3 linked regions of the Arabidopsis thaliana genome follow. The protein of the gene in region 1 purifies or fractionates together with the protein of each later gene. This does not show direct contact. Each region holds a gene or a part of one and is shown in the gene's direction. Other genes may lie near its edges. The genes, in order: AT3G18860, IVD and APP1.

Evidence for each region.
Region 2: the proteins of AT3G18860 (region 1) and IVD fractionate together in Arabidopsis thaliana (co-fractionation; one large-scale study listed by BioGRID). This does not show direct contact.
Region 3: the proteins of AT3G18860 (region 1) and APP1 fractionate together in Arabidopsis thaliana (co-fractionation; one large-scale study listed by BioGRID). This does not show direct contact.

The regions. Positions count from the first base shown.
Region 1 is NC_003074.8:6,497,640-6,505,885, forward strand, and holds the start of AT3G18860 (transducin family protein / WD-40 repeat family protein), read left to right. Parts: upstream 1-4,028; 5' UTR 4,029-4,134; coding exon 4,135-4,200; intron 4,201-4,638; coding exon 4,639-4,970; intron 4,971-5,286; coding exon 5,287-5,390; intron 5,391-5,607; coding exon 5,608-5,676; intron 5,677-5,886; coding exon 5,887-5,947; intron 5,948-6,161; coding exon 6,162-6,301; intron 6,302-6,722; coding exon 6,723-6,912; intron 6,913-7,086; coding exon 7,087-7,148; intron 7,149-7,324; coding exon 7,325-7,413; intron 7,414-7,890; coding exon 7,891-7,963; intron 7,964-8,043; coding exon 8,044-8,103; intron 8,104-8,199; coding exon 8,200-8,246. Other genes in the region: AT3G18840 (LOW protein: PPR containing-like protein), read left to right, coding at 1-595; LPAT5 (lysophosphatidyl acyltransferase 5), read right to left, coding at 1,890-2,332, 2,437-2,567, 2,648-3,201.
Region 2 is NC_003074.8:16,620,490-16,628,735, reverse strand, and holds IVD (isovaleryl-CoA-dehydrogenase), read left to right. Parts: upstream 1-3,692; 5' UTR 3,693-3,887; coding exon 3,888-3,998; intron 3,999-4,348; coding exon 4,349-4,432; intron 4,433-4,515; coding exon 4,516-4,573; intron 4,574-4,679; coding exon 4,680-4,804; intron 4,805-4,883; coding exon 4,884-4,928; intron 4,929-5,151; coding exon 5,152-5,200; intron 5,201-5,320; coding exon 5,321-5,430; intron 5,431-5,523; coding exon 5,524-5,600; intron 5,601-5,718; coding exon 5,719-5,769; intron 5,770-5,862; coding exon 5,863-5,927; intron 5,928-6,131; coding exon 6,132-6,286; intron 6,287-6,374; coding exon 6,375-6,415; intron 6,416-6,500; coding exon 6,501-6,555; intron 6,556-6,666; coding exon 6,667-6,723; intron 6,724-6,930; coding exon 6,931-7,077; 3' UTR 7,078-7,284; downstream 7,285-8,246. Other genes in the region: AT3G45310 (Cysteine proteinases superfamily protein), read left to right, coding at 1-32; MLO3 (Seven transmembrane MLO family protein), read right to left, coding at 7,384-7,638, 7,766-7,826, 7,936-8,003, 8,115-8,150, 8,225-8,246. UniProt on the Arabidopsis thaliana protein: Involved in degradation of the branched-chain amino acids, phytol and lysine for the supply of carbon and electrons to the ETF/ETFQO complex during dark-induced sugar starvation.
Region 3 is NC_003075.7:17,321,906-17,330,151, forward strand, and holds the start of APP1 (aminopeptidase P1), read left to right. Parts: upstream 1-4,711; 5' UTR 4,712-4,782; coding exon 4,783-4,875; intron 4,876-5,014; coding exon 5,015-5,078; intron 5,079-5,177; coding exon 5,178-5,317; intron 5,318-5,406; coding exon 5,407-5,691; intron 5,692-5,769; coding exon 5,770-6,165; intron 6,166-6,249; coding exon 6,250-6,336; intron 6,337-6,421; coding exon 6,422-6,486; intron 6,487-6,594; coding exon 6,595-6,661; intron 6,662-6,737; coding exon 6,738-6,872; intron 6,873-6,972; coding exon 6,973-7,053; intron 7,054-7,150; coding exon 7,151-7,205; intron 7,206-7,300; coding exon 7,301-7,405; intron 7,406-7,534; coding exon 7,535-7,606; intron 7,607-7,694; coding exon 7,695-7,819; intron 7,820-7,906; coding exon 7,907-8,056; coding exon of another isoform or gene 8,057-8,074; exon of another isoform or gene 8,075-8,246. Other genes in the region: AT4G36750 (Quinone reductase family protein), read left to right, coding at 2,737-3,329, 4,082-4,310. UniProt on the Arabidopsis thaliana protein: Catalyzes the removal of a penultimate prolyl residue from the N-termini of peptides, such as Arg-Pro-Pro. Aminopeptidase that binds to the auxin transport inhibitor N-1-naphthylphthalamic acid (NPA).

The DNA.
Region 1 (8,246 bases):
CTTTGAAGACATGACTGAGGGTGGATTCAAGCCAGATGAAATCACGTTTATGGCCCTCCTATCAGCTTGTCGTCACCGCGGCTTAGTTCTAGAAGGTGAGAAATACTTCAAGTCGATGATAGAGGCTTACAACATATCTCCCGAGACTGGTCACTATACCTGCATGATAGATTTGTATGGAAAGGCCTATAGGTTAGACAAAGCCATAGAGCTTATGGAAGGTATTGATCAAGTTGAAAAAGATGCCGTTATTCTTGGAGCATTTTTAAATGCTTGTAGCTGGAATAAGAATACAGAGCTTGTGAAGGAAGTCGAAGAGAAATTGTTAGTCATTGAAGGATCTAACGGGTCTCGCTATATTCAAATAGCTAACGCTTATGCCTCCTCTGGTAGATGGGATGAGATGCAACGGATACGGCATCAAATGAGAGGGAAGGAGCTGGAAATTTTTTCTGGGTGCAGCTGGGCTAATATAGATAAACAATTTCATATGTTTACTTCATCTGACATTTCCCATTATGAAACAGAAGCTATATATGCGATGCTACATTTTGTGACCAAGGATTTGTCTGAAATAGATGAAATCATGATTTAATAGACAGAGAGGTATCAATTTTCTGTACATAAATTATATATCACTCACATGACCGAAGGTTGATGATCTCTGTCTTTTGTGCTTTAACGGTCAACATTTTTGTTTTGTTTATTATTTTGAAGTAGGCGGGAAAAAACAAGCAGCACCAGCACAAAGTGAAGAAAACAACAACAGAAACAACATCAGGCAGAGACCAACAACAACAACATCAATATAAATCAGTATAAGAAAACCATGAAAACCAAACCACAAAGCGAAACCTTCCGAAAGAAAACCTACTAGCAAGTTGCAGCAGCTAATCCACACTTCTCCGGGAGTTTCTCAGCGAGGTCAAAGCTCGATATCACGGACATTGATACTGTCTTTATGCTTACAGAGGCACTGGAAATCGGCCTTGGACAGGGCATTGCAGCAAGGGCCCAAGGGATCAATTCCGGTGGTCATTGGGTTCCTAGCCTACACATAGGGCTTGCAAGAGTTCAGACAAGTAGAAGTCATACCGCAGAAGATCTGTCCGGTTGCTGCCGTGAGTGTAAAGGCAAGAACCAAGGTAAGAACGATAAGCTTAGTGTTTGGCTCCATGGCTTTATATACTTTGAGAGAGTATTTACCTAAATGTCTTTTCAACAATTTGTTGGGTTTGCTCTTCTCTTAGCTTAGGATAGGCTATACTACCTGCTTCATAGGGTTTATATTGAGAGAATAGGCACGTAACTGGTGAGATTTAGATAAAACGAAATTATAATTTTAACATGAAAGCATGTTCACAGGCTTTTGATATTATTCAGTATCCATATTCATGAGCACATGTAGTGGAAATATCGAATGTCGAAAATGGTCTATACTATAGAGTAAGAAGACCCGTGAGACATTGACATTACTATGTTCCAATGTGATAACTCGTCACGGGTGTTTTGGTGGCCTCAAATTTTCTTAGGGGCTCAAATTCAATTTAATTGCTTTCACATGCACAGTATGTAGGTACTTGTACTTGATATATCTTGGAAGCATTATCCCAATTTGACAATTTATTAATGAGAATAGTTGGTGGTCGGCTCTGTGAGTTATGTAGCAGGCAAAATGTGTCTTATGGTTGTATTTTGTGTTTTATTATCCCAAGCTATGATCTAACATGTGTAGATGAATGTATGAAGACATTCTAAAATAGAGCTAATCATATATTGCAGCTTGACCTCACATTGCATAAGTAGAAAGTGGATTGATTCTTAACCCCGAAATACAAAAGTAAAAAATATTCCATCATGTGAAGTTGTGAACTGAAAGCAATGAAAGTTTATTTGTTTACTAATTTGAGGGAATTTTTTGCAGTCTCAACAAGTGGAACAGAACGAAGATTGAAATGCGTAGCAGAGGTCAAGTAGACACAGGCCAAAGAGACATAAATCCTGAACCAAATCATTGATGAGAAGAAGGTGAGATGTGTACAGATGGTGGTGAAGGCAATCACTGCCAAACAGTTTATGAGGTACTTCTTTGTGTTGAACTCTTTCTCTGTTCCTTCGTTAGGGAAATGACCATTGGAGTAAAAGTCATTGAGCAGCTGGTCTTTGAGCTGGAATGTGTTCATTAACCAAGCATTGATGTCCTTTTCTTGATTTGGGATTTGGGTCAGGTTGATACGACGGATGTGGATGTGAACTTCTGATGGCTCAATTCCATAAACGTTGTCTAAGAAAGATGGGCAGCGGGTTTTATAACCGATGGTCACATCATAAACTGCAAGTGCAATAGTGTTGCATCAGAGTTTGCGTTTTTCAAGAAGAGAGGAAAGGCCTAGGATCTTAAATCACTGATGCAAACCAGCAAAAGTATAGACAAACCTGCGTCAAGTGAGCAACTCAGTTCTTGCAAGCAGGAGACGAAACCTTTTGTCCTGGGAAGCAGCACGTTGTTCAGTATCGGAAGGCCATTTTCAGCAGCAAATTTCTTACTCCTTTGGCATTTAGCCTCTCTGCATAAAGTTCCATTGTAAAATGCTTTTAACTAAAAGGTCTCTAAACAAGAATGATACTCCAAAGAAAGGAAACGTACGTGTAATCTGTGCCCTCGGGGAAAAGAGCAAGCCATAAAGCGTCTCGGGGATCCTTAAAACTCGAAACTATCTGTCTCAAGTTTGCTTCATCGACTTCCCATCTCCTCTCAACTGGAATAAACTCAAAGAGGTGAAACGCCCAACCAAAGAGAGGTAATTTCATCAAACTACTCTTAAGCACATATTTGATATTCCCAATCTGGCCTTTACGCAGTGCAAGATCCCAGAAGTACATCCAATCAACTTCTGTTCGGTGGTTTGCAATGAGCAATACTCGATCCTCGCAAGGAACCTTATCACCAGAGAAGATAACTTTGGTTTTGTTAATCTTCTCAAAGAGGAAAGGCCACAAGGCGAGCCACGAGCCAAAGAAGAAGGAAACACATTTACGGCTATAGCGAATGCTGAAAAGCCTCAACACTACAGCTGATAAGAACCCCCAGAATATCAACATCATAAAAGCTGTTGAAACTAACACCATCAGACATATTATACCTCTTAACACTCTAATCAGAGACAACTTATCAGAATTTGGTACACTCTTTTTTTCCATTTTATACACCTTAAGATAATCTAATTAACCTCCCCCTTCTAGTCTTCTATTCTTGATGCAATGAATCACAAAGTTCATGAATTTCCTGTTACCAGAATCACCATCAGAGCTCATATGGTTGAACACAACATACTTCACCTGCAGGTAATGATCAAAGACACATCAAAATAAGAATCGATAGCAAAGTACTTTATCAACAGAAAACGAAAACAATGTCTTGTAATTTAATAGACTTATTCAAATTCATACAATCTGATTAATGTTGGATTAAAATAAAGAAGAAGCTTGTATTCTCAAACACATATATACATTGTCTAAAACAAAAACTCTCACCAAGATAATCAAGATTCAAGCACAAATCTCAGTGAGGATTAAAAAAGCCAATCAAGAACACAGCATTTGTAAAATTTATTATTGGAAAAAAGAAATTCAGACAGAGAAAGGAACCAGATAGAAGAAGACAGCTTACCATGGAACTGAGCTTCCAGGTTTTATTTATAAACAAACAGTGCAGAAGAAGAAGAATTTAATGGCCGAGAAAAATATCATGAAGGACTACGATCGTTTTGTGAAAATAGGCTCAGAGGTTGTTGCTAATTACGGTCTATGCCACTTCTCGTAGAAAGTAGTACTCTTAGGAAGGTGAGGAAATTTAAACCACTGTCCCCTCCTTTTTCGTCATTATTAAATTCGACACGTCATCGTGTTTCATTGTTCCCTTTATTCAGCTTATTATTATTTTCAGTCTATCAATTGGGCCGGGCTTTGAAAGCCCACAAAGGTTATTTATTATACGTTTATCCTTATATAAAAGAAAGGAAATAAGAAATTAGTTTTTCTCCTGCAGAGTGTTTCTCCTTCCTCAAGTCACTTTTTGAGTCGCAGCAATTTGGCGTTTGGTATCTCTCAATCTGCTGCTTCTCCTTCTCAGTCATGGTCATGGATATCGATTTCAACGAGTACAAGCTCAGGTGCGAGCTTCATGGCCACGATGATGATGTAAGATCTCTTTGCTAAATCCACTTCTTCTTTCTACTGTTTTGATTTCTCGTTTTCGTGATCGATTCTACTCTAGATTTTGAAATTAAGTCTTGTATTCAGTAGGGTTCAGCAAAATTCACCCTCGTGATTCCAATTTCACTGTTCCGCTTTTGATCCAGGGTTTTTCAATTCAATGAGCTGATTTGATAGTTAGTGTGAAGCTTTGTTTTGATTAGTTTTATTATTAGGTTGACTTCTCAACGAATTTGTACTCAATTTGAGAATTTTATCTAATAGGGTTTGATGTTTAACCTTGCGTGCCAATGGCATTAATATAGATCAAATTTATACAATTTTTCGGCAGGAGTGTGATTGTCTTTATGCTATTGAGCTTATGCAATTGAATAATAACTGTGATTGTGACAATGGAAACTCATGGTTTATCAACATCTTCAGGTTCGTGGGATTTGTGTGTGTAATGATGAGAATATAGCTACTTCATCAAGAGATAGGACCATAAGGGTTTGGTCACTGGATCCATCTGATAAGCGCAAGTATACCTCCGAGAAAATTCTGCTGGGTCATACTAGCTTTGTTGGGCCACTTGCATGGATCCCACCAACTGATGAATACCCTGAAGGAAGACTTGTCTCTGGGAGTATGGATACTTTCGTTTTTGTTTGGAATCTGATGAATGGAGAGAATATTCAGACATTGAAGGGTCATCAGATGCAAGTCACTGGTGTTGCTATTGATAATGAGGACATAGTTTCATCTTCAGTTGATCAGTAAGTCCTCCTGTTCATGTAATTTCCTTAGTATGACATTTACCAACTGTTTAGTCAATAATGCCTCTTACTTAGTATCCAGTGAGTGTACTAGCCTGCGGTTTTCCTTCACTGTTTCCCAGGAATTGTATCACATACAGGATATTATATGAATCTTAACCGTAGTTGTAAAGGTTTTATGAGTGTTAATTGTGTGCATTATTGTCTTGAGTAGCTTACTAGCTTTAGTAATACTGGGGTAAAGAGATCCATCAAATTTTGATTTACCCTCTACTGTTGTGTAATGTAACTTACATTTATTTATTTTTATTTGTAGAACCCTGAAACGATGGAGAAACGGTCAGCTTGTTGAATCTTGGGATGCACACCAGTCGCCTATCCAGGCAGTGATAAGGCTGCCATCTGGTGAGCTCGTTTCAGGTACATGATCCAGCTAAAGCTGTCATTTGATGCATTTGTTTCTGTTTTTTTTGTTGTTTTCTTGCTGCCATGGACTTCCTTATTCGATTGTATTTTCTAGTATGATCGTTTTGCAAGCTTAGGTTAAATGATTTTTTGGTTGTTCTTAAGATGCATATACTTCTTTTTGATTAGGCTTGACGGCATATTTTTCACTGATGTTACTTGTACTTACCAGGTTCAAGTGACGCCAGTCTCAAACTCTGGAAGGGTAAAACGAGTCTGCAAACTCTTTCAGGGCATACAGGTGAATTCATTACTCTCTCCCAAATTTCGTATCTCTCAAAATTTCCTTGTCAATATGAGAAACTGCATACCGGAAATAAGATAGAATCTGATACTAGCTGCTCTAAGATATCTTATCTTGTGAAGTGCCAAGACACTGGCCTGTTGTCAGGGATTCCTTGTTATTGGAGAAACTATTGTCTTATACAAGTATTTTTATTTTACAATGCAGATACTGTTAGAGGGTTAGCTGTGATGCCTGATTTAGGATTTCTTTCCGCATCACATGATGGGTAAGTTATTTGCTTCCAACAAACTCATGCCTTACTGAATTTCATTGTCCAAGTGAATCCTTATGTGCTTAACTCGAATTGTGTTGTCTTTTGCATGACCTGGATAAGTTTTGTGATCCGGGGATAATATGATACTTGAGTTTTCTCTTATTTATCCTTTCATGTGTTTGTACACAGCAAAGGTTGTAAATCACTATTTTATTTTTTCTAACAGTTCAATCAGGTTATGGGCACTAAGTGGCGAAGTTCTTCTTGAGATGGTTGGCCACACCTCCCTTGTTTATTCAGTTGACGCACATTCGTCTGGCCTTATTGTTAGTGCCAGTGAAGATCGTCATGCCAAGATATGGAAAGGTGATTACGGGTTCCTTAGTTTCTATTGATGCCTTGGCTGTTCTTCACTTATGTTTCACAGTTTTCTAGGTTATATGAGGTCTGAGATGTTTAAATTTGGAAAATATGTCTCCACTTTTCAGTATGTTGCTCGCTCTTAAAGTTTTCTTTCAATAATAAAGATGTCTATATATCATATTTTTGTGGAAGACGTGTTATAAATTTGATCACTTAGTTGCAACCTATGGAAAGTTAGTTGTTAGTATGTCAGACAGTAATCAACTGATCAGAAACCAGTTTGAAAGGCTCACGAAGATTGGTCTGCAATAGCTGTTATAATAGATATCACTTGCGAAAAGAGACTGACATTTTGGTTTAAAGCATGTTTAGATCTTATAGGTTGATCTATTGTTCTTACTTTGTTATTTTTGTTTTGGTACAGATGGAGTCTGCGTTCAGAGTTTGGAACACCCAGGCTGTATCTGGGATGCCAAGTTTTTGGAAACCGGAGATATTGTGACAGCATGTTCAGATGGAGTGGTTCGTGTTTGGACAGTACGTCATGATGCGATTGCAGATCAGATGGAGATTGATGCCTATGATTCCCAAATTTCTCAATACAAACTAAGCAGGTAATCTGATCATTTATGGTGATCTCTATTCTTATCGACTAAATTCTATGTCCATTGAGTTTTTTTTCTTCACGTGGCAATGCATATTATATGACCTGCTGACGGGGTATGCTTTCTTGTCTTTTATGCTCAAAATATAACTGCAAAGTATATGCGTGCTGTTCTTTATCTCAGGAAAAAGGTTGGCGGATTGAAACTTGACGAGCTGCCAGGGCTTGATTCTTTGACGTCACCAGGTACCATTTATTATCCAATTAATTGTAATATTAATGTTTCGTACGGGAGAAAGGCTAAATTTTAAAGAATCTCAAGAGAACACAAAGATAATTGATAGTGTCTGGCGATCAAATTTGAATAGATTAAGCTGGCATTCTTGTAACATCATCCTCTCTTATTTGATATATGTTCTCAGGTACCAGTGATGGCCAGACAAAAGTAGTAAGGGAAGGAGACAATGGTGTTGCTTATGCATGGAATATGAAAGAACAGAGATGGGACAAAGTAAGTAAACAGAATGAACTTTTATCTTTTTTTTTATTTGTCGACTGCATTTCGTTTTTGCTCTTGACCTGAATGCGGCTTTGCTATATATTAGATCGCATGCATGAATATACAGATAACTTCCCTTTGAAACAATTACCTTGAGGAATATTTGTTACTTTGTTCATCGAAAAGTTGCCATCGGATTAGGGCTTGTAATTTCCACGAATGAGCATGCTGTCTGGTCATAAATTGATAGCATGTACTGCCAGCAATTTGCCTTTTGCGAGGATTTTATTTAATGTGGCAACCCATACCTGAGAGGAAAATTTCATCTGATTTTGACTTCTGATCCTCCTTCGAAGTAGCAATCTCTTAAGTAGATAGCAAGTAAATGAGATAGATTTCTCTCTAACATTTGTTTGCATATGAAGGATTAAACATTGGCTTTTTAGTGTGGTAGAATGTTTTGAGTTCTCACTGCATGCCTTTTTTCAGATTGGTGAGGTTGTTGATGGCCCAGATGGTGTGGCTGATCGTCCAATTCACGAGGGAGTTCAATATGATTTTGGTTAGATTTTGACCTATTATGGAAACTTGAGAATCTCTCAAAATCGAAGAACAAAATTCTTAGCCCTTTTTTTTCTCTAGTTTTCGATGTTGACATTGGTGATGGGGAACCTATCCGGAAGCTACCTTACAATCGATCAGGTACCTGAATGCTCTTACTGGCCTTGTTTTATTACAAGTGCAACCACAAGAAACTGCTTCAGTTTTTGATACTTCAAATCTTTTCTTGTTTGGCAGACAATCCTTATGATGCAGCTGACAAGTGGCTTCTAAAAGAGAATCTC
Region 2 (8,246 bases), about 10 Mb from region 1:
CAACATGTTCATCGTATCCGGTTGTAGCCTGAGGCTGATGTTTAAACCCGTTTACACCTTACAAGGGACTGAGGCTTTTGGTTACTTGGGATGAATGGTTGAATTGTTGTGAATTTATATCACTAGGGACTTCGGAGTAATTGTTTTTTATACTTGTATGGTTATGTTTCCAAATAATATGGTTGACACTCAATAGTCGACAGAAAAAAGAAAACTATTTCCAGATAATGTCAAGAGGCCTGACTGCCTGAGACTGATGTTTAAGCCCGTTAACTTACAAGGGACTGAGGCTTTTGGTTATTTGGGATGAATGGTTGAATACTTGAATTGTTATAGATTTATATCACTTGGGACTTGGGAGTAATTTTTTTTAAGAAATTTATATGATCTAACAATGGATCCAAAATACATATAGAAACTAGTTATGAGGTAATGTGTATTTGAAATTACTTAAAAATATTATTCTCTTATCTTTTACCTATGGATTCTTTTTCATCCAAAGATAGAGTTTGTCAAATTCTCTCTCTCTCCCTCCAATAGTTAAAGATCCTTCTAATCGATTTTTTTCTCCTTTCGTGAGATTGGATCTTTCTCCCTTGGAACTCTACTATCGAAGATATCTCTATTGTTTATGAGTTGTACTTTTCTCGATTTTGTGTAATTGTTTTCCATGTACTTGTATTTTTCTATTTACCTGGCAATCTTTCAATATGCCACACTTTTGTTTCTTTCGATATGCTATTTTACAAAAATTCATGAGATCTATCTAAATTCCAAGTTATTTCATCTTCTATCTCTTCATTGGAATTCCACCGTCGTAGATATCTCAAGTTTTTGTATCGAATTTTGTGTAATCTATTGCACTAATATCTTTCCGTTTAACATATTATATTTTTGTTTTACATAAGATCTTTCAATATGTCATGGCTATTGTTTATATAGACATGCTATTTTCATAAATACATACGAGTTTGTTCAAATGCAAGTTGTTTCTTTCATTATTTTTATTTGATTCATGTCACTTCTTAAAATTACATGGTTTTTTTCTCCTTTCCATTAATCTTTGTCATTAGATGACTTTTTTTCACTGAACCTTACGTTGAAGTCTCCACCACCAAAAACAAATGCATCAGTGCAAAAAACTATAAATTTACAAGGTTAATTGTCCTTTCCTCACCTTTTCCCCACCACAAAAAGAGTCAGTTACCCCAACAAACTAACCATTATTAATTTATGTGTAAAATTTGGCTAGATTCTAATATTACCCTTTTTATACTTGTATCCAAAAAATATCGTCAACATTCAATAGAAAACAATCGAAAGAAAAAAAAAGAATACTTTATAAATTTATATATTAAACTGATTCAAAAATTAACTCCCAACCTAAAAATATATTGATTTATCGAAATATTAATTTTTTGAGTATTAATTTATAGAAATTTTGTTGTAAACATTTGTTTTGCATGTTTTTAATCTCTCTTTTTTACATCAAAATGCATTTTAGAAATGTATAAATCAAATACTTAAATTTATTGGGGTTATACAAAAATTTATATCAACGTATTAAAAGGTTATTTTTGCATTCAACCTAAACATTCGTACTACCAAAATCATGTTGAAAGGAAAAACCAAAGTATTGTGATAGAAATAAGTTGACAAATTTGTTGTGCATATTTTGTGAAATAATATGTTTGGTTTGAAATAATTTTGATTGTTGAACAAACAAAGATTAATACAGTACATACATTATATATATATATATATATATTATTGCTATTTCTATAAATGTGTGATTAATTTTTCCGATAGGAGCCGACATACTTCATAACAAAAATGGTGAATAAAGAAAGGTTATTTATTATGGTTCTGCCGAATTAGTAAATGATGGTTCTTAGGAGATCACTTTATGATTATGGATATATTGACATAATGGATGACAAACTCGTGGCTGAATGCAAAGATAGCCATGACGATCATCTGGGTGATAATGGATATATTTATGTATCTTCGCGACTTTGCATATCTATGTGGGTGTAGATGGTACACCAAAAAGTCTTTGTTCGAGACTCATCTGAATTCATGCATCTACTAACTAATTTTGTCGTCATAAATATGGATGTGAATGAGGATGATAATGAGAAGGAGTATAAGAGGAGAATTAACTATTAATAATATAATATTACCTTTTTAGATGATATATTAAGAGAAAAACTCAAAGTCGAAGGAATAATGTAGAGTTAGCAAAAATAAAACGACAATGATAATAAGCAAAGATATATCAAACTCTCGTTTTCTCATGCATGTGATTGTGATATATACCAGTCTTTCGAGTACGACACTAGATAAAATTGTTCATGTTTTAGTGACACTATTAGGAATATCATGCACCATTAATTTGATATGTTTGCTAACCATAAGAAGATACGAGGATCTACACTGGAGACCTACTAATATATTTAATATATCTAAGAAACTTTTCATTAAACCGAAGTGGAAATCTCTCAAACTTCCAACTTTCATAGCAAACAAGGCTTCATTTACCCAAATTCGAATGGAGTAAAAATATTTCGCACATAAAAGTAGAATTTTACAGAAATATCCTTTAAAATGCATCTCCATATGATACATTGTATCGCATTATGACGACTAAATCTCTCAAACTTCCAACTTTCATAACAAACAATGCTGCACTTACCTGATTTCTAATAGTTAAAAATATCTCGCACATAAAAGTGGAATTTTACATAGATATATTTTAAAATTCATCTCCATCTGATACATTGTATCGCATTATGGCGACTAAATCTCTCAAACTTCCAACCTTCATAACAAACAATGCTGCACTTACCTAATTTCTAATGGGGTAAAAACATCTTACACATAAAAGTAGAATTTTACATAGATATTCTTTAAAATTCATTTCCATTTGACACATTGTATCGCATTTTATGGCGACTAGTTTTTAGCATGTAACTTTTACAAAGTGTTGAAAATGAATATAACTCACTATTTAAAAAAAAAAGAATATAGCTTACTATACCAAAACTAAATTTTATTCAACTAACATGTTGTACATAGTCACCGTAAGTGAATACACATTGTGTTAACCAGGGAGAAGGATCAGATCAGACTTATCTTCTCTAAATAACCTCAATGAGTCAATGTTAAACACTTTTTTATCTAAAAGATTTTCTAATATATAATACAAAGGAAGAATACAAGTATGGAATACGATTTGATACAAAAAAAACTGGTAGAAACTTAAAATACCTGTGGATAAGTACGATCTATATTTGTGATCCATAATTTTAAAGTATATTATATATAACCTCATTTAACGTCGTTGTACATGAAATGAAGACACATTACATATACACTGTCTTCTACAAATATGTTATTTAACTTTCACAAAATATTATATTGACAATTTTAGTGTTACATATTCATGATGAGAGTTAATATAATATAATATTTCCTAAACACTAATGTGTTCTTCTCTCATCAACACTCACAACCAATTGTTTTGACTTGTAGTATATACATATCTTCTAATATCAAAAACTTTACTATAAATGAAAAAATAATTTTTTTTTGTCGATTTGAAAATGGTATAATAGAGCAGTGTCAGTGGTATGGAGGAGTAGCAAATAGCAAAGTGGTATACGGAACTAGATTAGATGGACCAATGACTCATTGCTCATATCTTCTTCTCAATTCCAATTTTGTAATCCTTATCTCAAATTAATTTCTATTTTTATAACTACTTAATCTCAATTAGAAGAAGCCTGCTCTCTAATAACAAAAAAAAAAAGCCGTTTGGGATTTCTTTTACACGAACACATTCTTCCGATCTTTCTTGTTTTTAACTTACCGGTAATAACGAAGATATGCAGAGGTTTTTCTCCGCCAGATCGATTCTCGGTTACGCCGTCAAGACGCGGAGGAGGTCTTTCTCTTCTCGTTCTTCGTCTCTCCTATTCGACGACACTCAGTTACAGGTTCTCTCTCTCTCTCTCTTCTCTCCATAAATCTGTGATTCTCGTTGTGTATCTGTGTGTCTGTATATTTGCCATCTTCTCGTTTGAGAGCCGAAGGAAATTGGTGTTTGGTGTTTTCTAAGTGTAGCTTTCGACTTGGATGTGTTGGGGTTTTGACATGCCAATTCGAAATGATCTGAGAGATTTGTGTCAGTTAATTTGATGATTGTGTGTTGTGGAAAATGGAATTGGGAACAACACTTCATCATTTGATTTAACTTTGTTTCAGCTGATTGACATAAGTCGTTTATATTTTTTCTTGAATGCATTTTGCGACCTAATTGTTTTTGTGACTACCATTGAAACTGCAGTTTAAAGAAAGTGTATCCAAGTTTGCGCAAGATAATATCGCTCCTCATGCAGAAAGAATTGATAAAACTAATTCATTTCCAAAGGTTTGTTGTTAACTCCTTTCTCTCACGGTTTTTGTTGCTTATATATCTCATCAAAATCTAATCTTTCGTACTTGTTTAACTAGGATGTAAACTTATGGAAGCTAATGGGTGAGTTTAATCTCCATGGAATCACTGCGCCAGGTAGATTTCTCTCCTACCACAAGATCATATGCTTCTGCTATTAGCTCAGTCATGTTTTGTTTTATGTCTAGAACGGTAGCCTAATCGCATGTTCCTCTACCTGCAGAGGAATATGGAGGGCTAGGTCTTGGTTACTTGTATCATTGTATTGCAATGGAGGAAATCAGTCGGGCCTCGGGTTCAGTTGCTTTGTCTTATGGTGCTCATTCCAACCTTTGCATCAATCAATTGGTAAATATATATCTCACAAACTATGTTGCAGTATCTGAGTTTTTGAGTCTGAGAGAGAAGATTTAATACTATTTTACAGGTGAGGAATGGAACTGCAGCCCAAAAGGAAAAGTATTTGCCAAAGGTACGGTTTCATCTTGAGCTTTTGTATCATGGTCTGAGCTTACGGATATTGTCACTGCTATGCAAATGGTTTATCAGCCAATATCACCGGTGTTGGAAATCTCACCTTATAGAAAGACCGTTTTTTATTTTCTTCATCTGTGAACTGTTGCATGTTTCTCCTGATCTTTTTCTCTTAAAATGTCGTTAGAGTTTTAGCTAACTATTGATTCACTGCTATGAAGCTTATCAGTGGAGAGCATGTTGGTGCTCTTGCAATGAGTGAACCTAATGGTAAGATATATATTTTTCGGATCAAGAGTTTGAGATTGTGAGAAGGAAACACATCAATACATACATATAGCCGATGCTTTGTTCTGATGTATACTGATTTGACTTTTTATTTCGTTACAGCTGGTTCAGATGTTGTTGGCATGAAATGCAAGGCTGAGAAGGTAGATGGTGGTTATATACTAAATGGCAACAAGATGTGGTGCACTAATGGTCCATCTGCTGAAACACTGGTAATATAGTTTAGCTCATATGTTAACTTCTGAAACTGATTTTCTATAATTTTAACAGTTTTCTACCATTTGTTGTTTTTTTGGTTTGATCAGGTTGTTTACGCGAAAACTGATACAAAAGCAGGTTCCAAAGGAATCACGGCTTTCATCATAGAGAAAGGAATGACCGGGTATGTGAATTCTCAATCTTGTTGAAACTGACTTTCTATGATCTTTAGTAAAGAACTAATGGAACAAATTCAGAGAGTGAGTTCCTTAAAACCATTTATTGTTGTGGTTGCTTTGCAGATTCAGTACTGCTCAGAAATTGGACAAACTAGGAATGCGGGGAAGCGATACGTAATCCCCATTCTCTCAAGATAAAAATATCTGTGTAAATTAAATCCCTTTTTCACTGTCTCTTTCTCTCTAACATCTGTCTCTCCTGAGCAGGTGTGAGCTTGTTTTTGAGAATTGCTTCGTTCCAGAGGAAAATATTCTAGACAAGGAAGGAAAAGGTTTTGATTGCTGAAACTCTCTTAATCTCTAGTTTGATAGATAATTTGCATTGCATGGTCTGGCTTTTCTAGTTTTATGAGGATCTAATATCTGAGATCAAAATGGTAATGTTGTGCTACATACACGCCTTGTATATTTCTTGAGTCGAGGCTACTATCCCCATCTCTATACTTGTCTGATGTACATAGTGTTTGTACGTGCAGGAGTGTATGTTCTGATGTCAGGTCTGGATTTGGAGAGACTTGTTTTAGCAGCTGGGCCCTTAGGGATCATGCAGGCATGCCTCGACAATGTTCTTCCCTATATTCGCCAGAGAGAACAATTTGGTCGTCCAGTTGGGGAATTTCAGTTTATACAGGTTGAGCTTGATCATCCTTCTCATAAACGTTTCCGAATATCTCAAACTTTAATCATAAGATTCCTAAAACAATTCTGTTGAATTTCAGGGTAAAGTTGCTGATATGTACACTGCATTACAATCTTCAAGGTAGAAAACTTCTCTCAATACTCTGGAAATTATTTTGTCCATAGAAATGTAGCTCAAGCAAAAAGTTGTTCCTTTGGCATATCAGGTCATACGTTTACTCTGTTGCGAGGGACTGTGACAATGGGAAAGTTGACCCAAAGGTAATTTGATAATAAATAACCATCCCTTCTAGTTTCCTGTTATGAAAATAGTCATGCATCACCACCGCAACCTAATACACCTGCCTTCTTGTGTATTTGCTTATTGTCTAGGACTGCGCCGGAACTATTCTTTGTGCGGCCGAGAGAGCAACGCAGGTCGCTTTACAGGTCAAGTACCCTTATTTTCCTTCATACTTAAAGTTACTGTGACACTAGCTCATAAAGCTAGATCAAACCCGAAACCAGTTTTAAGCGTTGTCTCTTGTCTTTCTAATGGTTACCAGCAAAGCAAACCTCCGAAGGGATCATAACTACACATATTGATCACCTAGTTACCTTTCCTTTAAGACTAAAAGATTTGGTTTGATGTTGCAGGCGATACAATGTTTAGGCGGAAATGGATACATAAACGAATATGCAACAGGACGCCTTCTAAGAGATGCAAAGCTATATGAAATCGGTGCAGGGACAAGCGAGATCAGAAGGATTGTCATCGGTCGCGAGCTTTTCAAAGAAGAATAGAGATAAGTCTGTTTTCTGCATTGCCAATGCGACATTTTCATTCTGTACACGTATATATAATTCACAGTGTCCTTAATAACCTCACAATAAGAAAAATAGCTTCAAGCAATCCTCTAGAAACCATATCAATTATTAGTCACATTATGTGTGACATGTTATCACGATACCAGCATGCCAATCTAACACTGACACTTCTGGTTAAACTTACTATTTTGTCATTTGATTCGTCAATAATTAGTAAAGGCAACTCTAAAAAGTTCTTAACAATAATACCAACAATCTCTTTCTCATTTTCCATCAATCTGATCACCTTTCAGTTTTCTCTTGTATCTGTATCTCTTGTAAAATCGGCGATTGTCTACCCGAAAATCTAAACTCAGAAGCAACTTCTGTCTGAACCGGACTTTCTCCAGAATCAATATCACCATTGTTATTGTTACTGTTGTTGTCGGTGTCTGGCGTTTGGATAGTCTTTTTCTTGTCTCTAACCATCCCTTGCCAGTGCCTTAACACATTTGCTAGTTGTTCTTCTAAGATTGCTCTCTTGTAGCTTGACCCCATCTAAACACATATATATATGCATCCAAATCAAATTCAGATCACTAGGTTACACTAACAGTAATAATTTATATACTAATGCAAAACGATTTAATTTAAAAATGGTGTTATATATATTGGACTAAATTACCTGAGTTACAATGGCATAAAGAGGCAATGTAATGTAGCTGCTCAAGAACTGGACTGTCACCCTATAAATCATAATATCCTTAATATTAACGATATGATTTTTAATACAAAAATATAATTTCGAAAATGTAAATAATTTGTGGGATAAAATAAATAAATTGTAGTGCTTACGCTAATACAAGTCGTGTGATTATGATCCCTTGGTTATCATGGTAGCAAGAGTTAATCCCAAATTGCCACTAATTTCATAATTAAAATTATAGATACATCACATATAACAATTTCCTATATTATTTTTCCCTTTCTTATAAATCCAAATATTAAAATCCCTATAAGAAATTAGAACTTACAGTGATCCACACAATAAATGCCATCTCGAAGGTGTTCTGTATTAGAAAAATTAATGTTGGCATTATGATGAAGCATTAGGAAAAACGACATGTAGTTTATAAAAGATTACCAGAAACAGCGTGTAGTGTAGA
Region 3 (8,246 bases), on another chromosome or scaffold:
CATGATTAGCGCGTCTTAAAAACTGACGAATGCGTCTTATTAGATATGGTTTATTAATGAACCAAAAAAATAGGTGCGTACTGATATATCTTACCGGCCCTATTGCAATTTTTAAAAAAAGTTAGTATATAGATCGTTAGCGTTAGTTCTTTTGTGAAGCTACGTACGAGATCATAGTGAATAAAAACATGCATGCAATTGAGAAAATTGTAGCAAATAGAAAGACTCAGCTTGCTCTTTCACGTCTTATTGGGTTACGTTCCTTTCAATGAATAGCTAGCTAATAAGCATTGGTAAGTTAAAAGAATTGACCTAATCACGTTTACCAATAAATGAGATTGCGACACCAGTAAATAATCTGTTCACAATTTCACTAATAAACAAATAGAAGCTAGTGACCCTAAAAGTAAAAGCTTTAATAAAGCATACTCGAAATGTTTTTCTCTTTTCCTTTTTGGGTCAACACTGAAGTTGTTTTATGAAAAAACAATTGGGACACAGCCTCTCTCCGTCTCGCGCGTCGCCATCATTGTTGAAGCCAAAAAGGCCATGCACATCTACAGACCAATGAATTTCAGAAATATTTTGCATAATTTTAAATAGAATACTAAATATATGATATATGGTGCTAGTTTTTTTTTTCGTTTTAAAAAATGCTGATATTGTATTTTATTGTCTGATAATATATATCTATATATATACATGTAAATTTTTTGTACTTAATTTAAATAAAAACTCACTATATAGTGTGCATTCACATAAAAGATCATTTCTATATTTATAATAGTTAATTGTTGGAATTCGTTGGTTTAAAAATCCAATAGAATTCCATGGATCCTTCTGTAGTGGATTAATAGGCATGATATCTTAAAACAGCTAAGCCTTAATCTTTAGTTGTTTAAAATAACAATTAAAGATTCTCAATTACTCGATTAAGACACTAATCACCACCACAATCTTTACGATTAAAACATTGAACGGCAAAACACAACGTGGACGGTCCAAAAATCACTCACGTGGAGTAAAAATTAGATAAACTTTCCATAAATATAAAAACAGTACAATATATTGTCTCTCTTTGCCACTTTCGAGGTCCAACCTGTCTCTGGTTCCTCTACTACATCACATAACACGATTAGAGCTTTAAGCACATGGTTCGCAACTAAACAGATCTTGTCATTAGCTCCTTAGTTTAAGTTTATAAATTTCCATAAATAGTTTTCGTAAACGTGGCATTGCTAATTTGCTATGAACACAAGATTCGTCACCGATGACAGCTATAAAAGAGGAGGCTTTTCTAGATTGCTCTTGGGTTTGGTCCTAGATTCGTGGGGTTTGAGTTTTTAACATATTTTCAAAAGAAAATTCTCTTAATTAGTCTTAATTTATTGCTCTAAGTTTACAATATTCTTTCTATTTTGGTTCTTGCAGCTTTAAGCGCGATCTTGTATTATTTTCATGGTGGTCCAAACTAGTACCTGGCACAACATAGAAGCATATGGTATTATTTAACTAATAATGTTTTTAATCAATCGAAGTATACATACATTAATTTATCGGTTGATATAAAATTATATTTCCTTTTCCAGACATTAACCAATCAGATAAGATCTACATTAGCTCTAACTAACCACAGTATAATAAATACCAAATTTTTAGCATGTTCGATTCAACATTTTAAAGTACTTCTTCTTTAACATTAATCTACCAGTAGCGTTTGAAATTTCAATTACTTATAACCAATAGTTGAAATTTGACTTTTGGTTTAACTATTAACTATTATTCTCCAAAGATATGCTTCGCTTTTCTTCTAATTGTAACATTATGATTGATAATTTTCATGCAACTCCTTTTCTCTAGATCGTAGGTAGGAGGATATTAGGTTAATTTGACTACGCTAGAGATTTAAATTAGTACGCTTTCGAACAAGTCAAAAGACACCATCGGGTTAGCCACTAAGAAAGCAATCATCATATACATCAATTAATTATAATACTACTTATATACCTGTACTATATACACTCATGCATAAAAAGTAAAAACGATTCTCTCTTTATCAAATTTAGATTCTGGATCGTTAAAAAGTAGTAAAAAATGAGAAAACTTTTACAAGATAAATTTGATGAGTCACCCTCATCATATTATAGTTAGAGGCTAATAATTTATAAATAATGTCAAAACAATTTTCTCTATGTACATATTATTACGGAGCGATTACATATATCATTCACAACTTTAGTCATTTTGTTAACCCTAATATAATGTGATATCAAAACGGAATATTAATAACGTTATACATTACAATTTTTGTAATAAATTTTGATTTTAATCACTAATCAGTTACTTGTTGCCATTATATTGATCGGGGATCCCTTATTGATAGGCCCAATATGAATGAGCTCAGTTATATTTTGGGTTTTTTCTCATAGCATAAATGGCCCAATGAAAGCCTATTAAGTGATCGAAGGTCAGACGTTGGACTCCTTGTATGAAACCAACAGACTAGGCCCAAATTATCAACTCAAAATTGACCGTAACATATACGGCGCCGTTTTTGTAGACCTGAGTGTGATAAAGTGAGCTGTTAAATCTTCACTTAACCCCATTTTTAATCACGAAATTAGAGTGGTGATTAAAAATACAACTAAAGTTGTTTCAAGTGATTGTTTTCATTTATTTAAATTTTAAATTAATCCAACTTATCGTTGACGGAAAATTTGGGAGAGAATATTCTCGATGGGGAAAGGAGGAGGTTGTGTTCCGAGCAAGAAGAAGAAGCCGGCCACCACCGGCGATGGTCCCGGAATCGATGATGATAACGACGCTACTAATGCTCCGATCCAAATTGACGATGATCAAACCACCATTGACGGCGATCGAACAACGGCGACGAATACTGGAGGAACAACAACACCAGCGATTACTACTACGGCTGCTAAGATCTCGTCACCGCTCAAGATCTTCGTCGTGTTCTATTCGATGTACGGACATGTGGAGAGCTTAGCGAAGAGGATGAAAAAGGGAGTGGATAGCGTCGAAGGAGTGGAGGCGACGTTGTACAGAGTTCCGGAGACGCTTTCGCAGGAGGTTGTTGAGCAGATGAAGGCGCCGGTTAAGGATTTGGAGATTCCGGAGATTACGGCGGCGGAATTGACGGCGGCTGATGGATTTCTGTTTGGATTTCCGACTAGGTATGGTTGTATGGCTGCGCAGATGAAGGCGTTTTTTGATTCGACGGGATCATTGTGGAAGGAGCAGAGTCTTGCTGGTAAGCCTGCTGGATTCTTTGTGAGCACTGGCACTCAAGGAGGTGGCCAAGAGACCACTGCGTAAGCTTTTGCTTCTTTCTTATACTCTTTAGTACCATTTGCATTGGTTCTAAAGTATATTAGTTGAATTTGGAGTACAAGTATTGAATTGCTATAATCACAGAGTCACTATGTGAAATAAATGCAACCTTGAATTTGATGTATATAGGTGGTTGCTAAAACCTGAAAGGTTGTTGTGGTCAGGACTTTGTCTAGTACTTTAGAGGAAACTTGTCAGAGATGGCTATCATTCTGGTGAATTGCTTGCTTGATCTTTAATTGCTTTCTTAACTACACCATTGACCATTTCAAGTCCAATCTGGTCACCATTGAATAGTACCCTGGTCTCTCTTTTGGTACGATAGGCTTGCACTTATGCTACGCTTATGTTAGCTCTAGTAAGGGGAGATCTTTAGAACATGTAAAACTGGATTATTTTAGATTCTCACTTTCTCATCACCCAAAGTACCAATTCTATAGGCATGAGTGTTGCCTCCGATAATTTGCATGTGTTTAAGCTCTGAGATAGATTCCTCAATGTATGTGGACTCTCTTTAGTCATCATTTGCACTTAGATATTTGTCTGTTTTACTTCAGCTGATTCACTCGGTTGCTGTGATAGTTTGCGAATATAGAGAAGCATAACAATGCGGAATCTTAAAGCTTTTGCGTATTTCTCCAAGTGTGCAATGTGGATATTTTTATTGCCATCGTTTCCACATTAAAGCTCAGAAACACTTGCTGATTTCCATCTCGTGTGTGTTCTGTTGCAGATGGACAGCAATCACACAGCTTGTGCACCATGGGATGCTATTTGTACCAATAGGCTACACATTTGGAGCTGGAATGTTCAAGATGGACTCGATACGTGGAGGCTCTCCTTATGGAGCAGGTGTGTTCGCTGGTGATGGGTCAAGAGAAGCAACAGAAACAGAATTGGCTCTTGCTGAACATCAAGGAAACTACATGGCTGCAATAGTCAAAAGACTTGCTCAACCTTAAAACAAAAACAAAAATTGCTTCCTCTATTTGTCTCTTTTCATTCAATTCCTCCTCCTGCTAAATAATCATAAAAAAAAAAATCTTCCTTTCTTTTCTCAATTCCATCGAAATTTCTTTCTTTTCTTTATGAGTGTTTTCAGTTTCGCCATTAATGGTTAGTGTGTACATGTTTCTTTATATTATTTGTCTCTTATTTATTCCTTGTTGTAAAATAAAAACAAAATTTCATTACGTGTTCTTTCATTGGAGTTGTTGATTGGATATTTTATCAAAAACTTATAATTTCACAAATCGTTAAAGTGTAGGAAAAAAAAATAATTAGTTGCGTCAGCCATTAGGATTCCTTGGAACACGTAAAGTTTACTAACATAAAACTGTGATATCTGTACTTTTTTATATCTATCTGCTGCTGCATCTGTGTTCTGTTCGTCCTTGAAGCAGTCAAATTCTTCTCTGAACTCCAAACATCGCCATGTCCGAGATTCTCTCTTCGTTGAGGTCACTAATGGCCTCTCACTCTCCTCCTCTTGATGCTTTGGTTGTTCCTTCCGAAGACTATCACCAGGTTTGATTTATTTTCAATTGAATTACCCTTTTTTGATTCATGATCCGATCTCAGATTACTTGATTATACGTCTACTATTACTTAATCATGTATTGTTCATTGATTTGAGTGAAAGTTTCGATTTTTAAATTGTATGTAGAGCGAGTATGTTTCTGCACGAGACAAACGCCGTGAGTTCGTGTCTGGATTCAGTGGAAGTGCAGGTCTGTTTCTATTTTCTATTGTTCTGGATTCAAATATTGTTAGAATTGAATCGTTGATCGAGAGTGAATTGAATTTGATCGGCGATTATAAATATATAGGTTTGGCACTTATCACGAAGAAGGAAGCAAGACTTTGGACAGATGGTCGATACTTCTTGCAAGCATTGCAACAGCTTAGCGATGAGTGGACACTAATGCGGATGGGAGAAGATCCTCTTGTTGAAGTTTGGATGTCTGATGTTAGTCCTCAACTAATCTTTTGATCAATCCATAAATTTTGTAACTTTGAGATGTGTTCTTTGATTTAGCTTATGGTTTAACAATGTAGAATCTACCTGAAGAGGCAAATATAGGTGTTGATTCATGGTGTGTCTCGGTAGACACTGCGAATAGATGGGGGAAATCGTTTGCCAAGAAGAATCAGAAACTAATCACCACAACTACTGATCTTGTGGATGAAGTTTGGAAGAGTCGTCCACCTTCTGAGATGAGTCCGGTTGTTGTTCATCCTTTGGAGTTTGCTGGCCGTTCTGTTTCCCATAAATTCGAAGATTTGAGGGCAAAGCTTAAGCAAGAGGGTGCTCGTGGTTTGGTCATCGCTGCTCTTGATGAGGTGTGTTTTCGTAGTAAAAAGATCTCTCTTTTTCTCAGTTCAGCTTTGGAATGTATTTTGATTGGGGGTTTGATGCAGGTTGCTTGGCTATATAATATCCGTGGAACTGATGTTGCTTATTGTCCCGTTGTTCATGCGTTTGCAATCCTTACCACCGACTCTGCGTTTCTCTATGTTGACAAAAAGAAAGTGTCTGATGAGGCAAACTCTTATTTCAATGGGCTCGGTGTGGAAGTCCGGGAATACACAGATGTGATCTCAGATGTGGCCTTGCTTGCTTCGGATCGACTTATTTCTTCATTTGCCTCTAAAACTGTCCAACATGAGGCTGCAAAGGATATGGAGATTGATTCTGACCAGCCTGATCGGTTATGGGTGGATCCTGCTTCGTGCTGCTATGCACTTTACTCCAAATTGGATGCTGAGAAGGTCCTTCTGCAACCATCCCCTATATCCCTCTCAAAAGCCTTGAAGGTAATAAAGAATGATTTTTGAAACGAGTGATCTCTTTCGACGTGTTTTAGTTTATTCATACATGCTTATTCTCACTTATGTTAGAACCCGGTTGAGCTCGAAGGGATCAAGAATGCACATGTTCGTGATGGTGCTGCTGTTGTCCAGTACCTTGTTTGGCTCGACAATCAGGTACTGAATAAATGAAAATTTTGTTTCTTGAACACTACTACTATATTGATGATTGATTATGTCACTCAACATTGTGAAACCATAGATGCAGGAGCTCTATGGAGCATCTGGATACTTCTTGGAAGCAGAGGCAAGCAAAAAGAAACCATCGTAAGCTTCTTCTTTCTTCTTTGTTTTGTTTTTCCCGATTTTGCAAACCATTTTTCCATGATTCATGACGCAATGAGTTTTTCTTCTGCAAAAAACAAAACAATACAGAGAAACCTCTAAGCTTACTGAAGTGACTGTGAGCGATAAGCTGGAAAGTCTTCGAGCTTCAAAAGAGGTAATGTTTACATATAACATATTAAACTTTTGTCTTTCCATGAAAGAGATGAATCACATTTCTCGTGTGGTTGCAGCATTTTAGAGGTTTAAGCTTTCCTACTATATCATCGGTTGGTTCAAACGCTGCTGTTATTCATTATTCACCAGAGCCAGAAGCTTGTGCCGAGATGGACCCCGACAAAATTTACTTATGTGATTCAGGAGCACAGGTAAATATCACATGATTGAGTGTATACTATAAGCTTACCTTGTATTTATCAAAGTCTTTGCTCTATAATACAATTTCGTTGTTGTTGTCTTTCTGCAAAGTATCTCGATGGAACAACTGATATAACCCGAACGGTTCACTTTGGAAAACCTTCAGCTCATGAAAAGGAATGCTATACTGCGGTATGTACTTATTGATGATAACCTTTTGAATATTACATTCTTATTTATTTGGAATAAGCATATTTGCTGATATATGTTCAATGTGCCGCATCCTTAGGTCTTCAAGGGTCATGTTGCACTAGGAAATGCTCGGTTTCCAAAGGGAACAAACGGTAAGTTATGATCTCCTTGAATTTTGTTTCTGTACCAACTTGAGATTTGGCTATTGATCTTTTATATGTTGCATTGGCTATATCTGAATTTACAGGCTATACACTTGATATTCTTGCTCGAGCTCCTTTGTGGAAGTATGGGTTGGATTATCGACATGGTACTGGTCATGGAGTTGGTTCTTACCTTTGTGTTCATGAAGGCAAGTTATGAGATACCTCTTTTTATTCTCTCTTTCTTATAAATATCGAGTCATTGATAATAATGTTTTTGAAATTCTAGATGTCATCAACTAACTTTCTGCGATGATTATGTATGGTTTAATATGTAGGACCTCACCAAGTTAGTTTCAGACCGAGTGCCAGGAATGTACCTCTTCAAGCTACCATGACTGTAACAGATGGTCCGTCTGCAACAAAAACTCGGTAGTTCTCCTGTTCGGGTTAACCTTGATCATATTCTAAAAGCTGTCTATATTCATTTATTTGCAGAACCTGGTTACTATGAAGACGGGAACTTTGGTATTAGGTTGGAGAATGTTCTTGTTGTCAATGACGCTGAGACTGAATTCAATTTTGGCGACAAGGGCTACTTGCAATTCGAGCATATCACTTGGGTACTTACTCGTTGTCTGTTAACTAATACCGTAGTTCTCATATCAACATGCACATCTGAGTAACTCTCGATCTCTCTCTCTCTCCAGGCACCATATCAAGTGAAACTTATCGATCTAGACGAGTTGACACGGGAAGAGATTGACTGGTTAAACACATATCATTCGAAGTGCAAAGACATCTTAGCCCCATTTATGAACCAGACTGAAATGGAATGGCTCAAGAAAGCTACCGAACCTGTAAGTGTATCCGCTTGATCCCCTCCCAGATTTCTCTTAAATAGATGTTTATCAATGGCTCCTTCACTTCTCTCACTAGTAAACCAAAAACATTCAAGTCATACACAGATTATTTTCTTTAGTTTTGCATTCAAAGTTCATGTTTCTGGACCACATGTCTTTATTCATAGCAGATTCTCAGTTGTTGAAC